3 linked regions of the Arabidopsis thaliana genome follow. The protein of the gene in region 3 interacts with the protein of the main gene of each other region in a pairwise test. Each region holds a gene or a part of one and is shown on either strand. Other genes may lie near its edges.

Region 1 (5,059 bases), on a different chromosome or scaffold from region 3:
AGCAGGTCTCCAATCTGGTGCTAAATCTCAATAGAAGAAGATGGTAGAGGTTATATTAATATCATTTTCTAGATCTTTCATTTTAAGATACTTTCATTGGAACTGGGAATACATGTATACTATTTTAGGCCCATGTATACTGGAGCTTAATTGTTTGTATGTTTTTTTTTCGGATAGGTAAATATTTGATTTAGTTAGATTCAGAATGTTTAAGTTTTTACTTTGTAGGTTAAATTTGTTCTATAAAGCTTATTTCCAACTGTAAAGACACATTTCATTTTACTAAATGTTTCTGATGAAAATCACATAACCAAATTTTGATATCGAACGGGATCACCAGTTTCGGTGGTTTTGATCGGATCAACAATGGTGAAGAGAATGAGCGTCATGGGTCATTTGTGTTTACACGCTTACACTCACGCTTACGCTGCACAGATTTCTTTAATCTGATGAATGTGAGTTGTTGTTGCTCAACATTTCGTTAAAACGGTTACGTTTGCCATAAGTAACTATTGATACATTTGTGTTTATACGCTTACGCTGCTGCACATGTTTACGTGATTACGTCTACGACCATTTCAACTTCGATTTGCCTTAGAAGCACGATAGCTTATACATTCTTCCATCATGTCCAATCATATATATAATATTAAGAGTTTACCGTCGCTGAGTCATACAGTAAATAAAAATACAGACAATAGTTACCTCAATCAAAATCACAAAACCAATGACTCTTTTTCTGGTTAATGCTTGTGATTCCAATGGGGTAGGGTTTCATACAGATTAGAATCAGGAGCAAATGGATTCTGCATGCCTTCACGGTTCACCTGTTCCGGCAAGAAATTTGCCGTCTCCACTCTCTGATTTTGTGCTAAACCAGCACTGGTGTTGGTACTTGAATTTGCTGGTTTCAAAATGTGGTTAGAGTTTGGCGGAATACTAGAGGAAGCACTCGGTGTGTTGCTGAATGGTATGCCCATGTTTGGTCTTGACCAATGCAAAGGGTTCACTCCTGTCACTCTTTTCACAGTTTCCTCTGCCATCTTAACCTGCACAGGTTTTTTATCAATGCAATTAACTTAGTTATTAAATCATAATCTTGGGTGTTTTAAATTCTTAACACTCGTGAGTCACAAGAGTACCTTTGTTCTCAAAGTTTCGATATCAGCTCTTAGAATTCTGTTGTCAACAGCAGCTGCATCATACTTATGATTCATGTCACTAAGACGATTAATTAAAGTTGAATGCTCGGCTCTTAATTGGCCTACCTACAATTGGTAAAAACTTTACCTATAAACCCCTGAAGACTGTTGAAAAGTAAGAAAGACTCGAGAAATGTATAAATGTATGAGCAACTAATAAAAGACCGAACCTGTGTATCAAATTCATTCATTTGTTCTTGCTTTCTTCTCCTAGAGCGCCTAGCGGATTCTCGGTTTGAGAGCATCCTGGGTAATTACAAAAAAAAAAAAATGAATCAGGATGACCTTCGAAAAAGTTAAATATATAGAGCCTGACTGTTTCCTAAGAACAACAGTCACAACATAAAATTGACTGAAACATTCCTCTACTAGATTTCAGTTCTTTCTTTCTCTTTAGAGAGAGTAGAAAGTAGAAACTATTAGGTACAAGCCTTTTCCCAAAAGCATGTCTATATCTATCAGCCTCGAGATTCAGAACGATTACCAGAAACATTCTAAGGTACAAAAATCAAGATTTGTACCTCCTAGCACGCTTCACATCAGTAGGATCTCCATTATCTGCGTCTCCATCAAGATCATCGTCATCAGAATCATCTCGTGATGAAATACTAGTTTGTCTGGCTGGAACATCAGGTTTCTTTTGCGTGCTTGTTGTGGGAGAAAATCTAACAGATGAAGCACCAGGTGAGGTTTGTGCCACAATGGAGCCTAGATAATTTCAAAATAATCCCATTATCCACTAACTGAAAAACATTTCATCCAGGTACATATCACAAGAAGCGGGAAATAAGAAAGCTATCTAGTATAATGCACTAACTTACACTAATAAGAATGGAGAGTCAAAAGGCTAAGAATTCTCATCTAAACGCATAATACTACGTATGCCTTGTTTCTTTCTTCTCAGAGAAAAAATTGACTCGACTAGAACAGAATTAAATATGAATGAACACAGAGAAAGCTGTCATCTCCAAAACAAAGCCTACTTATCTTCAAATTCCCTTAAAGTCTTGAGTTTACTGAGAGAGATTAGCAGTTAATTAATTGTCTAATCAAATTGACAAACAAATCTCGATGAAATGTTTGCTCTCTATGTAATCTAAACATTGACATTGACGAGAGACAAAGCTAGAGAGAGTCAAAAAACCAAAACCAAAACAAAGCAACGATACGTGACCTTGAGCTTGTTTTTGATTGCTAGCTGAAGCACTCGAATCTTCCGGTTTCACAGTTCCCACCTGAAGAAAATCATATCAAATCAACACACAACCAAACATTCCTTATTGTTGAAATCATCAATTCCTTTAATCTGAATACACATAAGAAATGGATCTAAGAGACGTACACGACGAGCAACAGCAGCGCAAGCAAGCTCGAGCTTGCTCTTAAGAATCGCATGATACTGATTAGGATCAACAACAACAGGAGCTGAAGAATCAACCGGATCAGACGACGGAGCACGATTCCGATTCTTCCCTTGATCATCAACAGGGAGCCGTCGATGATTCTGCGGTTTCTGAATCTCAACAACATCTTCGGTTTCGTCAACGGTTTCTTCTAATCTCGAAAGAGACTGAACCGGTGGAGGTGATCTCTCGATTGTGTTAGTCGTAGGGCTCGAATCGGAACCAGACAACTCATTGATAAGCCTGTGGAACGCCCACTCCGATTGACTTCGAGTCATCCCATCCGCCACGTTCTGCGTCGGTGACGGAGTCGATGACGATCCCGGCGACGGCGCCGGAGCGGGAACAGGCCAGAAGGATTCGGTCAAATCATCGACAGAGAAGACGATGTGCATCGCTTACCCAATCGCCTCAAATTCTTCTTCTTCTTTTTTCTCTCTCTCTCTCTCTCTCGCTCTTTCCTTAATTTGTTTTTGTCTTACGTGGAGCCGCCATTATTGATTAGGATACTTGACACGTTTCTGTATTGTATTGGATTAGTACTAACCAACATATCTTTTTTCTGTTAATAATTTAATAAAAATGCAAATTAAGGCATTCAAAGGCATTTTAAATTTCTACTTTAGTTGATGTGTGTCATTTACTTTGTGGGCAAAAGGGTAAGAATAATGTGTTGGCTTTATAGATAAGCAGCTTAGGTTTCCTTTGTCTTTTTTAACTCCTTCCTCTCATTTTCTTGATTTGATAGCTACTCTCTCTTATTCATATCATCAGTAAGATATTCTCACCACATATGATGCATGAGTAAGCAAGCTTTAAACAAGTAAAGGAGGAACTCAGTGAGACTGAAGAAAGTGGTAACCCAAAGAGGTTACAACCGAGGAGCTGCAAACATAGCCTGACTTCAAGAGACCCGAGGGGATAAACCGAATAAGAATCAAAGTCACCTAAGTCAGCTTATGGTAAAAAGAAGGTAAGAGTGTATTCATTGGAAATCCTATGTAACTTGATCATAACAGCGTTCTTTGAGTTAAACATTGTGAATATTAGATTATGTGCCTATCATCTAAGTTTCAATGAAAAAAGAAACACAGATATTTATATACTACTAGCATAGCTGAGCAATTTCAATTATCCATCCTGAAAACTCATACATACCACACATAGATGCTAATACGACTATGTGAACAAAAGCAATAGGAATTACTCACGCTTTTAACAATCTCTTGGCTCAGTTGATTCCAACCACTAGATACCAAGGTTCTTCTTGAAGTTGGCTTTGTATATCTCTGAAACAGCACTGGCAGTATCAGCAACACCGGTTTTGATCTCCGATATCTTCGAATCCATGTACTCTTTCTGTTTCGATATCGAATCGATAAGTGCAAAGAGTTGTGCAGCACATGCTTGGACCTCCTCTTCACTCTCCTTCACTGCTTCTTGCAATCTAAGCTCCGAAGCTTTTACAAACTCAGCAGCTTCTTTCTCCACAACCTCCAGATTCAAAGCCTCAGCTTTCACACTCTCAACCAATGTTTTCGCCTCCAAATCACATTTTGTACTCAACTCCTGAGTTTCCTTCTTCACCAACTTCATCTTTTCTTCGAGGTCATTGATCTGCAACTGAATTGACCCAAGAAGACTCCTTTTGGATTCGATCTTCGAAGCCATTTCAGACTTATGGTGCTGTAAAGTGACCAATTCCTCCACTTTCTCCGCCGAGCTTCCTTTGATCCCATCGCACAACGAACACAGAGCTGGCTTCACCACCGATTTATAATCCACACCCATCACCGCTGCAGGTGTTTCCCCTCTCTCGTTAACAGCGAACTGAATATCAAGCTTCAATCTCCTGAGAGCTTGGTTGCAGTCAATGGCAAGTGTCTGAATCTGATGAAACTGATTCCTAATCTGTGAATTGAGTTCCCAAGCTTTCTGATCCCAACCATCTCTAGCAACCTCAGCATCCGCAACATCTCTTTCCACAGCTTGTAACTCTCTTCTCATCCTATTTACATCCGCCGCGCTAAAGTTCTGAAGCTCCACACTCTTCTTCAACTCCTTATTCTCTACAGAGATTCGCTCTCTCTCTTCTTCCTTAGCTTTGAGCTCCTTAGCTTTCTCCTCCACAACTTTCTCCATCGCTGGATTCCTATCAGTATACTCCACAACAATAGTTCGGAACTTGTTTACGTCATTCTCCAAATCGGCTTTAACTTTCTCCAGAGACTCTTTCTTCGAAGGACCTTTCCTCAGTGACTCAAGTTTAGCCTCCAATTCACCGGAGATTTTCTCACAACCAGAGATAGTTTCAGCGACGCTAGTCTTCTCCGCTTCCAATTTACCCAAAAATTGAGAATCTAAATCGTTAACCTTATCATCCTCGCCGCGAATGAAGTGACCAAAGCTTTGAATCGCGAAGAAATTCATGGAGTTATCTTCGGGTACGGAGGT
Region 2 (4,592 bases), on a different chromosome or scaffold from region 3:
CAGACATGTTAAGCAATCTCGTTCCTCGTCTCGTCGCGAAGAAGATCTCTTGCTCGTAGGCTCTATCTCCATCTGTTAGCAACCGTTGGATCAAAATCAAGGTTTTGAGAGCAACCGACCAGTTCTTGGTCTTGTTGAGCCGTCGCGAGAGAGTTGCCACACAAGCGCTTACGTAATTGCGTGAGTAAGAAGTTAGGCATAAAATCTCTCTAATGTACTTGTCCTCCGCTGGATAGTCATCATGTCGCGTCGCTTTCACGACAGCTATTTCGAGTTCCGTTAAAGAACTGCTTCGACCACCGACTTTGGCTAATCCTACGCTTGTTTGATCTTTCACGGCTCCTATGGCACGTTTTAGCTTACTTGAACCCATTTTGACTTACGTACGCCGTTAAACAGAGGAAGAGAGAGGAGAAAAAAATTGGAAGAACGACGACTTTTTTCTTTCACTTGTTTGTCGTCGTCTCTTTTTCTCCTCTGTTTTTTTTTTTTGTGTTTTCTGACGAGAAAATGTGAATGCTTGATCGATCTACCATGGAAATCGCCGAGGTTGTCGGAATTTAATGATAGGGGAAATTAGTAAAGCCATGTGAGCTATCTTTTTTAAAATTGGATAAAAACAGATATACACTCTGTTATTAGCTATAAATAGAAAGACGATTCTCAAATAAGAATCTTGTAATGTTATAAGACAGAGCTTATATATATATATAAGCCATGAGACTGTATTTTCACAAGATGTTTTCTCATGATTCGTAACTTAATAACACTTACAAATTACAGATGCATAGACATTAATATAGTGCGAAACCCGCTTCTTGTTTGATCAGTCCACGCATTTTTTCGGCCTGTAAAATGAGCAAAAAAAGGGGAGACAGGAATCTGATATGTATAAACAGGGATCATAGTACTTCAAATGGTTTTAAATTGTTCAATGGTCTTAAAAGAAAGAGCCATGTTTTAGCTTACCATGCTGAATCGTTCTGAGGTTCGGTATTCCAGCCATACGGGTTGGCGCTTGGAGTAACATGGTGATTTTGCCCATTTCTAATTCTCTGCAAGGGAGAGCTGGTTTGGGATGGAGGAGCAGCGAAATTGTTTCCGAGTCTTGGAGGTAGAATGGTTGGGATCCCGATGTTTTGGTTTGACATATGGTTTAGGTTTGAGTGTGGTTGATAAGCTGGAATAATGCTAGAAGAATCCATCCTGTTGTTACCAGTTATTGGCATTCTGTTGTTGTTGTTATGTCCACTTGATCTTCCGAGAAGCATCGGATTCATTCCTGTTACTCTCTTCACGGTTTCTTCCGCCATTTTCACCTTAACATAACATGGGAGTTACTAAAACTGTATACAAAAAAAGGGTAGTTCAGAAAAAGGAGAGGAGGATAATACTTAAGTCTTCTTACCTTAGCTCTTAATGTCTCAATGTCAGCCTTTAGTATTCTATTGCCAACAGCAGCCTCGTCATACTTGTGATTCATGTTGCTCAGTTGTTTAAGAAGTGATGAATGCTCACCTTTTAGATCATTAACCTATCAAAATACAAATTAGGTCTCATTAATATCCTTCAACACAAAAATGAGGTGTTGAGAGGATACAACACAAAACCTGTGTTTCGAGGTCACTTGTTTGCTCCTGCTTTCTCCTTCTAGATCGCCTAGCTGACTCACGATTTGACAGCATCCTACAAATATTAAAAGGAAGAACAAGGCTCTATAAATGTAATCTTCAAACGACAAGAAATTGGAGAAAAAGTAATGATTACCTTCTAGATTTTTTAACGTCCTCTGGCTTCAAGGAACCGGTGGTTTCATTCTCTTCATCAAGGTCCTCGTCATCAGAATATTCTCTCGACGATCCACTAGTAACCTGCTTCATTGATACACCAGTTTTTTTCACCTCAGCTGGTAAGGAAGAAGTAACACCAAGTTCTCCTGGGGTCATCAAAGAACCTACCACGATTAAAACTTACTATGTCTAAGACTCAGAAGAGATATCTGAAAGAGAAAGACGAGCGCTGAAATAATGATTTCCCATATATTGAACTAACCACCAGAACTCATCTCAATCCCAAGCTTATTGTTCTTCCAGAAAGCAGTTTAATTTCAATGAGAAAGTCAGTCACAAAAAGATTGAAACTTGACGGATAAAACTAGGCGCTTGATCCAACAAAAGTACCATTTTCTATTTCTAATTCCTTAACCTAGGCATCTAAATTAACAAACACAGAACAGAGAAACGAATCTGCAGGTTTATCATCGCTCATCTATCCTGGTGAAACTAAGAAGAGACTCTTACCTTGAGTAAGAGGACTGGATTGAACTGGTTGAAGTTGAGTTTCTGGAGAACTAGTCGAATCTTCAGGCTTCACAGACCCAACCTAAGAAGAGAACATCAGAGCTTCAGATTTAGATCAAAACGCACAAATTACACATATAGATAAGAAAAATAGAAGATTAACAACACACCCGAAGAGAAACAACAGTAGCGCACTCAGTCTCAAGCTTGTTCTTAAGAACACGACGATAATCATCGGAATCAACAATCACCGTCTTCGTCGTCATGGGAGCAGCACAATCCAAATTTCCCGAATCGCGATCACGAAATCGACTATCATCCTCGAAATCATTCTGTCCGGAAACAGAAGGAAGAGATTGCGCCGAAGAAACACCGACGATCGCGTTGTTGTTGTTACCAAGTGGCTCAGAGCTCACCGCCGACGAAGAAATCTCTTCGAGAAACATCTCGAAAGTCCATTCCGGTTGACTCTGGCTAACTTCATCCGCCGTAACAGGCTTAGAAGAGTCGGGATTGAGAGGAATCGGAGGAGTTTCCCAGAAAGGATCGGAGAAATCGTCAATGGAGAAGATACTGTTCATCGCTCGCTCTCTTTTTCACTTTCTGATTCTTCTTTTTTTGTCGGTACTTTGCCTATTTGCATTTAGGTCCACCCACACAAGTATATTCTCTTTTTTTATTACGTACAATAAAATAAACATTTTTTCTTACACATTTCTGTTTTATTTCTTTACAATATTCTTTGAATAGTTTTTATAATTTAAATATCTATTGTATAACGTCCACTAATGTTTACATGAAAAAACGTAACAGTTTTTGCAAACATTGTTATTTAATTATTCTTCAAAGTTTGATTTATTCAATGAACAACGAAGTTGACATAAAACATTAGATTATATTTTAATTTATAAAAAAATACTATATTATACTGGTCATTAAAAATTTATAAAATGTCACCAGAAGCTAAACAAATAAATCACTAAGCTATATTACAAATTTACAATAGACAAGCCTAAATTATAAAAAAAAAATATATGGAGTTTTTTAAAAATCTAAATTTACCACAAAAAGCTTCTAAAAATAATTAACGAACTAGATCATTTTTTCGCGCCATATGTAAATTTAAACAGTCATTTTCAATTTTCATATATATGGAATTTACTCTCTATTTCTTTTTGACCTTAACATAGTGTCACCAATACCACAAATCACCACTATGTAGGCTATATTACAATAGAGAACGAACCAAAAGAATACAAAAAAACAAACCATATATATATTTTTCAAGCAATCCCCAGTTTTAATTATTGCAAAATTACAAGAATCTACACACATTTTTTTTTTTTTTGTGAAAGGGCTAAGAATCTACACACATAAATATACACACACAAGAAAAAACTTCTAAAAATAGTAATACAAAATTATAATGCCAAAGCTTCTTTCTTTTTTACTAGTTCTGCTTATTCTCCAAAGCTAATTGGTCATTGTTGATCAGAACAGAATTACCACTCTCATCCTCTGATTCATTCACATTTGTCTTCCTCCGCGGTGACCTTCCCTGTTCTATTCCTCCTCCTCCTCCTCCAGAGTTTCTCCGATCATCTTTAGAGACCAAGTCCTCAGCTTCAAGCATATGAATGATATGACCCATTTTTGGCCTCTTTTGAGCATTAGGATCAACACATCTTAAAGCTACCAAAAGGGTACGCTTCAATGACCTTAACGACGGTTTATCAACCATCCTCGGATCCAAAACTCCTTCCGCATCTCGATTCGTCACCAATCTCTTCAACCATTCCACAAGATTCACTTCTCCCGGAGCCCGGCTATAATCCACAGGACTTCTCCCTGAAATAATCTCCATAACAAGAACACCGAAGCTATAAACATCGCTCCTCTCATTCAACATTCCGGTACTCGCGTATTCAGGAGCCACATACCCAAACGTACCCATCACACGAGTAGTCACATAGCTCATCTCCGAACCCAAGAGCTTAGCTAACCCAAAGTCAGAAACTTTCGAGTTCCATTGCTTGTCAAGCAAGATATTACTCGATTTAATATCTCGGTGAACAACTTTAGGCTCAAGACCTTCGTGTAAATACATTAACCCTTTGGCTGTTCCAAGAACAATGTTCATCCTAATCTCCCAAGTAAGAGGACTCTTAAACCCCAAACCACCACCATGAATCCATTGTTCTAAATTCCCATTATCAACATACTCGTAAACTAACATCCTATGAGCTCCTTCAACGCAATAACCAAGCAATCTCACCAGATTCTTGTGTCTTA
Region 3 (3,289 bases):
GGTAAAGACTTGACTGGTACATTAGTTGAATAACTGAACAATACAATAGCGGAATCACCAGGACGACAAAATTCAAAACGGAATAAACTTAACACGCCAAAAAGCTACTTAATAAATGACTTTGTCTAAACTAGTTAGTTATACATTTAACACATGCGAAATAGATTGGAAAATAGCTTATTAATTTTCACGGTTTATCACTCCGTGGTTATTATTGTGAATGGTATACACTCGGCAAAATCACGTTTTGAAACACATGAACATGCAAATAAGACACATACCATTCAAGCCCTATATTATTTTGAATTATTCATAAAATTGAAAAATTTGACACAAAAAATTGTTATCGTGTTACCAAAGCAATTTTTATCGGTAATACTCAATTATGACCAGAACATATACTACTTCCCCACTTTTTGCTTCAATTTTGATTACTTCATCAGTTCTGCCATTTACATGCAAGGTACCAAAAAAACTTTTTTTTTTTCTTTCGGGTTAACCACCGAAAATCATATAACGTTAAATGAAAATGTTGAAAACAATAAGATATGCAATTGTATCAGAATTCAGAAAGTAATGAGAAGAAACAATTCGATATAAAAAGATTACAAAAACTATAAAATGACCAAAGTAAAACACACACTAATACACAAATCTCATGTCTTAAAGGACGCCATTGGTTGTAGAGAACCACAACTCAATTTCCACGGTGTACGTCTACAATCTCCAACCGCTATTCCCGCGTTTGCGTTCTGATCGTCGACACAATCGCCACCACCACTCTGCGTCAGCGTTAAACTCGTCGTAGCAATCATATTCTCTAAATCGCTAACGTAACTCGAGAGCCAAATCTTCTCCGATCTAAGACCCGCGTTCTCCGTTTCGACCGAGTCAAGCCTCTGTTTTACAGCTCGACATCTCTCACTGTTCTCTTTGATTCGTCGTTCAAGACTGGAGATCTCATGAATCGTGTCTTCCATTAACTTCTGTTTCTTCAAACGCGACCTCCTTGCAGATTCGCGGTTTGATAACTTGCGTTTTCTTTTCTTCTCATCTATGTCGGAACCTGAACTTGTCTTCTCTGCGTTTGCCATGTTTTTTTGTTCAAGAGATAACGTAAAACCAATGAAGAATCACAACTGATATAGAATGATAAACAAGGAATTGGTTGAGATTTATCATTTCATAACTCTGTCCATTGTCTTTTCATAACTCAAGAACTCAAGAATTTCAAGACAAGAAAAAAGAATTTCAAGAATCTGTGATTTTGCGAGGATCAAGAGAAATTAAACAAGAAGATCTTTATTTATGATTACGTTTGATTTTAAGAGAAGAGAAGAGATTAGTTAGAAGAGAAATAGAACAAGGAAGAAGATAAGGATAAGATCGAAAATAAGGAAAGTGGGAGAAGTTGTTCGTTTTAGGTTGCTCTTATTTATAGATTTAACATTATAAAAAAAAATCTCGAATTTTTACATTAGAAAAGATTATCCAAATTGTATAAGAAAGGAAGATTCATCGAATGACGAATCGGAAAAGAAAGAGAATTTTAGTCAAACATTTTTATTTTTTACTTTTTTGGTTTATTGTTTTTATTTTATTTTATTTTTATTAGGACATAACAGCTAAATAGGTGTTGGTGTTGTTCCTTAATAGGTGACCAGTAATTACTATTTTTGCTTTTTAGCATTTAAATTGTTGTTTTGTTGTGCATTTAGTTGTCACACTCGTAGGATAATTCAAGAAATATCCTACGAAAACTAGATTCTATAACCTTCTAATTATGTATATATACTTGTCCAAATTTAATTCATCGTTTTGTAAGTCCCTTTTTCTGCAACTCCAGTAAAAATAGAGTATGATTGTCTAAAATCAGTAAACTGGATCAGTTAATGTCAGTGGGTAATGCATTAGCTGACATAAACACGTTCCGATCATTATTTCTTCTTAGTTCGGTTTTAACTACTAAGCATTTCAAAAAGTTACACAACCATTTTAAATTTTAAATTGCTAATGGGACAAAAATACCTCATTTAGAAAGAATCATACGTACGTAAACTATATCGTCAATGAAACACGAAGTTCTTTTGGAATTGGACAGGTTAAACGTGGAGCAATGACCGACTATTTTTAGTGTTTTTAATTTTGGGGATTTAGAGATTACGCTTAACATGGTTGACAATTTTATTATTAAAGAAAATTATCCATGTTGAAAGCAAAATTCCATTTGATATTACTTTTGTGTGGGTCTTATCTGAAATGATTTTAGTAAACTAAAAGAAAGAGACTGTATATATTGATAAGCCAGCCCTGCTTTCTTTTCAAATGAAAATACAAAACAATAGAAGATGGGCGATAATTTATTAATTAATATAATACTTGAAAATACACGATCCTTATCTGCTCACCGATAAACTATATATCATTATTTATTTATCAGATAAATAAAATACTTCAATATAATTATTTTTCATAAAAAAAAAGTAGATGCACTTCATTGGTTGGCTAGTTTTAGAAATTTGTTTAGGTTCTACGGACCTTTTGTTCGGGTCTGAGTCAATCTTGATATTTGAGGTTTTGAACAAACTAGAAAAAAATGAAAAAACTAATGCAGAAATCTACATGTAAATTGCTGTTAATTGTTATTTTATTTTAAGTGTTTATAACGTGGTAAAGTATATTAAAAGTTTTATTTAGATAACAAATTTATTATTATTTTTGTTTGACATATTTTCATTAATAAGATCTGATCTATAGATAATCCCTAACTATTATCCAAATAACGTGATTTAATAAAGTCAAACTCCAGTAGAAAATGTGGAGTTAAATAGGTTTAACCAATTGACTATTACCACCATTATTGTTTAAACTACTGGTTACATATTTCTTTGTTTTTTTTATGAAATTTGTTAAATTTGTAATCATATACATGATATATTGAAATTTAATGTTTTGGGTTTTAGGGAGTGTTGTAGTTTCTCTTTTTTTTGCCATTGATATTTCTCTATCAACTTTCTTAATTATTTTTTTAATTATTAGTTCCAAATTGTGGTTGAAACTTAGTGGTTTGTTTTAAAAGTGTTGTTGTCATATTAGAATCCTAATTTATAGTTTAAAATGTATGTGTATAAACTAAATGATAGAATAAACATGCAAGTTTTTTTTTTGAACCCTATATCTAATTTTAAGAAGACAAGTACAAAACAGAAATAAAACTTCTCAAATTCTAACACATTTATCTAAGAACGTGAACTAAATCAAGTTTAACAAATAAAAACATTTGCTCCTG

Evidence for each region. The genes of interacting proteins can lie anywhere in the genome.
Region 1: the proteins of bZIP1 (region 3) and BZIP25 interact in binary tests that used the Arabidopsis thaliana proteins (3 or more experiments, as listed by UniProt).
Region 2: the proteins of bZIP1 (region 3) and BZO2H1 interact in binary tests that used the Arabidopsis thaliana proteins (3 or more experiments, as listed by UniProt).

What each region holds. Positions count from the first base shown.
Region 1 is NC_003074.8:20,217,342-20,222,400, forward strand, and holds BZIP25 (basic leucine zipper 25), read right to left. Parts: upstream 3,157-5,059; 5' UTR 3,001-3,156; coding exon 2,545-3,000; intron 2,438-2,544; coding exon 2,377-2,437; intron 1,911-2,376; coding exon 1,724-1,910; intron 1,449-1,723; coding exon 1,373-1,448; coding exon of another isoform or gene 1,269-1,372; coding exon 1,143-1,268; intron 1,050-1,142; coding exon 744-1,049; 3' UTR 556-743; downstream 1-555. Other genes in the region: HAG1 (histone acetyltransferase of the GNAT family 1), read left to right, coding at 1-34; AT3G54630 (kinetochore protein), read right to left, coding at 3,854-5,059. UniProt on the Arabidopsis thaliana protein: Transcription factor that binds to the 5'-ACGT-3' box, especially present in G-box-like motif (5'-CCACGTGGCC-3'), ABRE elements, of seed storage protein (SSP) encoding gene promoters (e.g.
Region 2 is NC_003075.7:1,152,320-1,156,911, reverse strand, and holds BZO2H1 (bZIP transcription factor family protein), read right to left. Parts: upstream 2,959-4,592; 5' UTR 2,882-2,958; coding exon 2,471-2,881; intron 2,383-2,470; coding exon 2,301-2,382; intron 1,955-2,300; coding exon 1,768-1,954; intron 1,687-1,767; coding exon 1,611-1,686; intron 1,535-1,610; coding exon 1,409-1,534; intron 1,320-1,408; coding exon 970-1,319; coding exon of another isoform or gene 966-969; exon of another isoform or gene 849-965; coding exon 827-848; 3' UTR 556-826; downstream 1-555. Other genes in the region: AT4G02650 (ENTH/ANTH/VHS superfamily protein), read right to left, coding at 1-373; AT4G02630 (Protein kinase superfamily protein), read right to left, coding at 3,751-4,592. UniProt on the Arabidopsis thaliana protein: Transcription factor that binds to the C-box-like motif (5'-TGCTGACGTCA-3') and G-box-like motif (5'-CCACGTGGCC-3'), ABRE elements, of gene promoters. Binds to the 5'-ACGT-3' motif of seed storage protein (SSP) encoding gene promoters (e.g.
Region 3 is NC_003076.8:20,049,950-20,053,238, reverse strand, and holds bZIP1 (basic leucine-zipper 1), read right to left. Parts: upstream 1,411-3,289; 5' UTR 1,095-1,410; coding exon 657-1,094; 3' UTR 504-656; downstream 1-503. UniProt on the Arabidopsis thaliana protein: Transcription factor that binds to the C-box-like motif (5'-TGCTGACGTCA-3') and G-box-like motif (5'-CCACGTGGCC-3'), ABRE elements, of gene promoters involved in sugar signaling.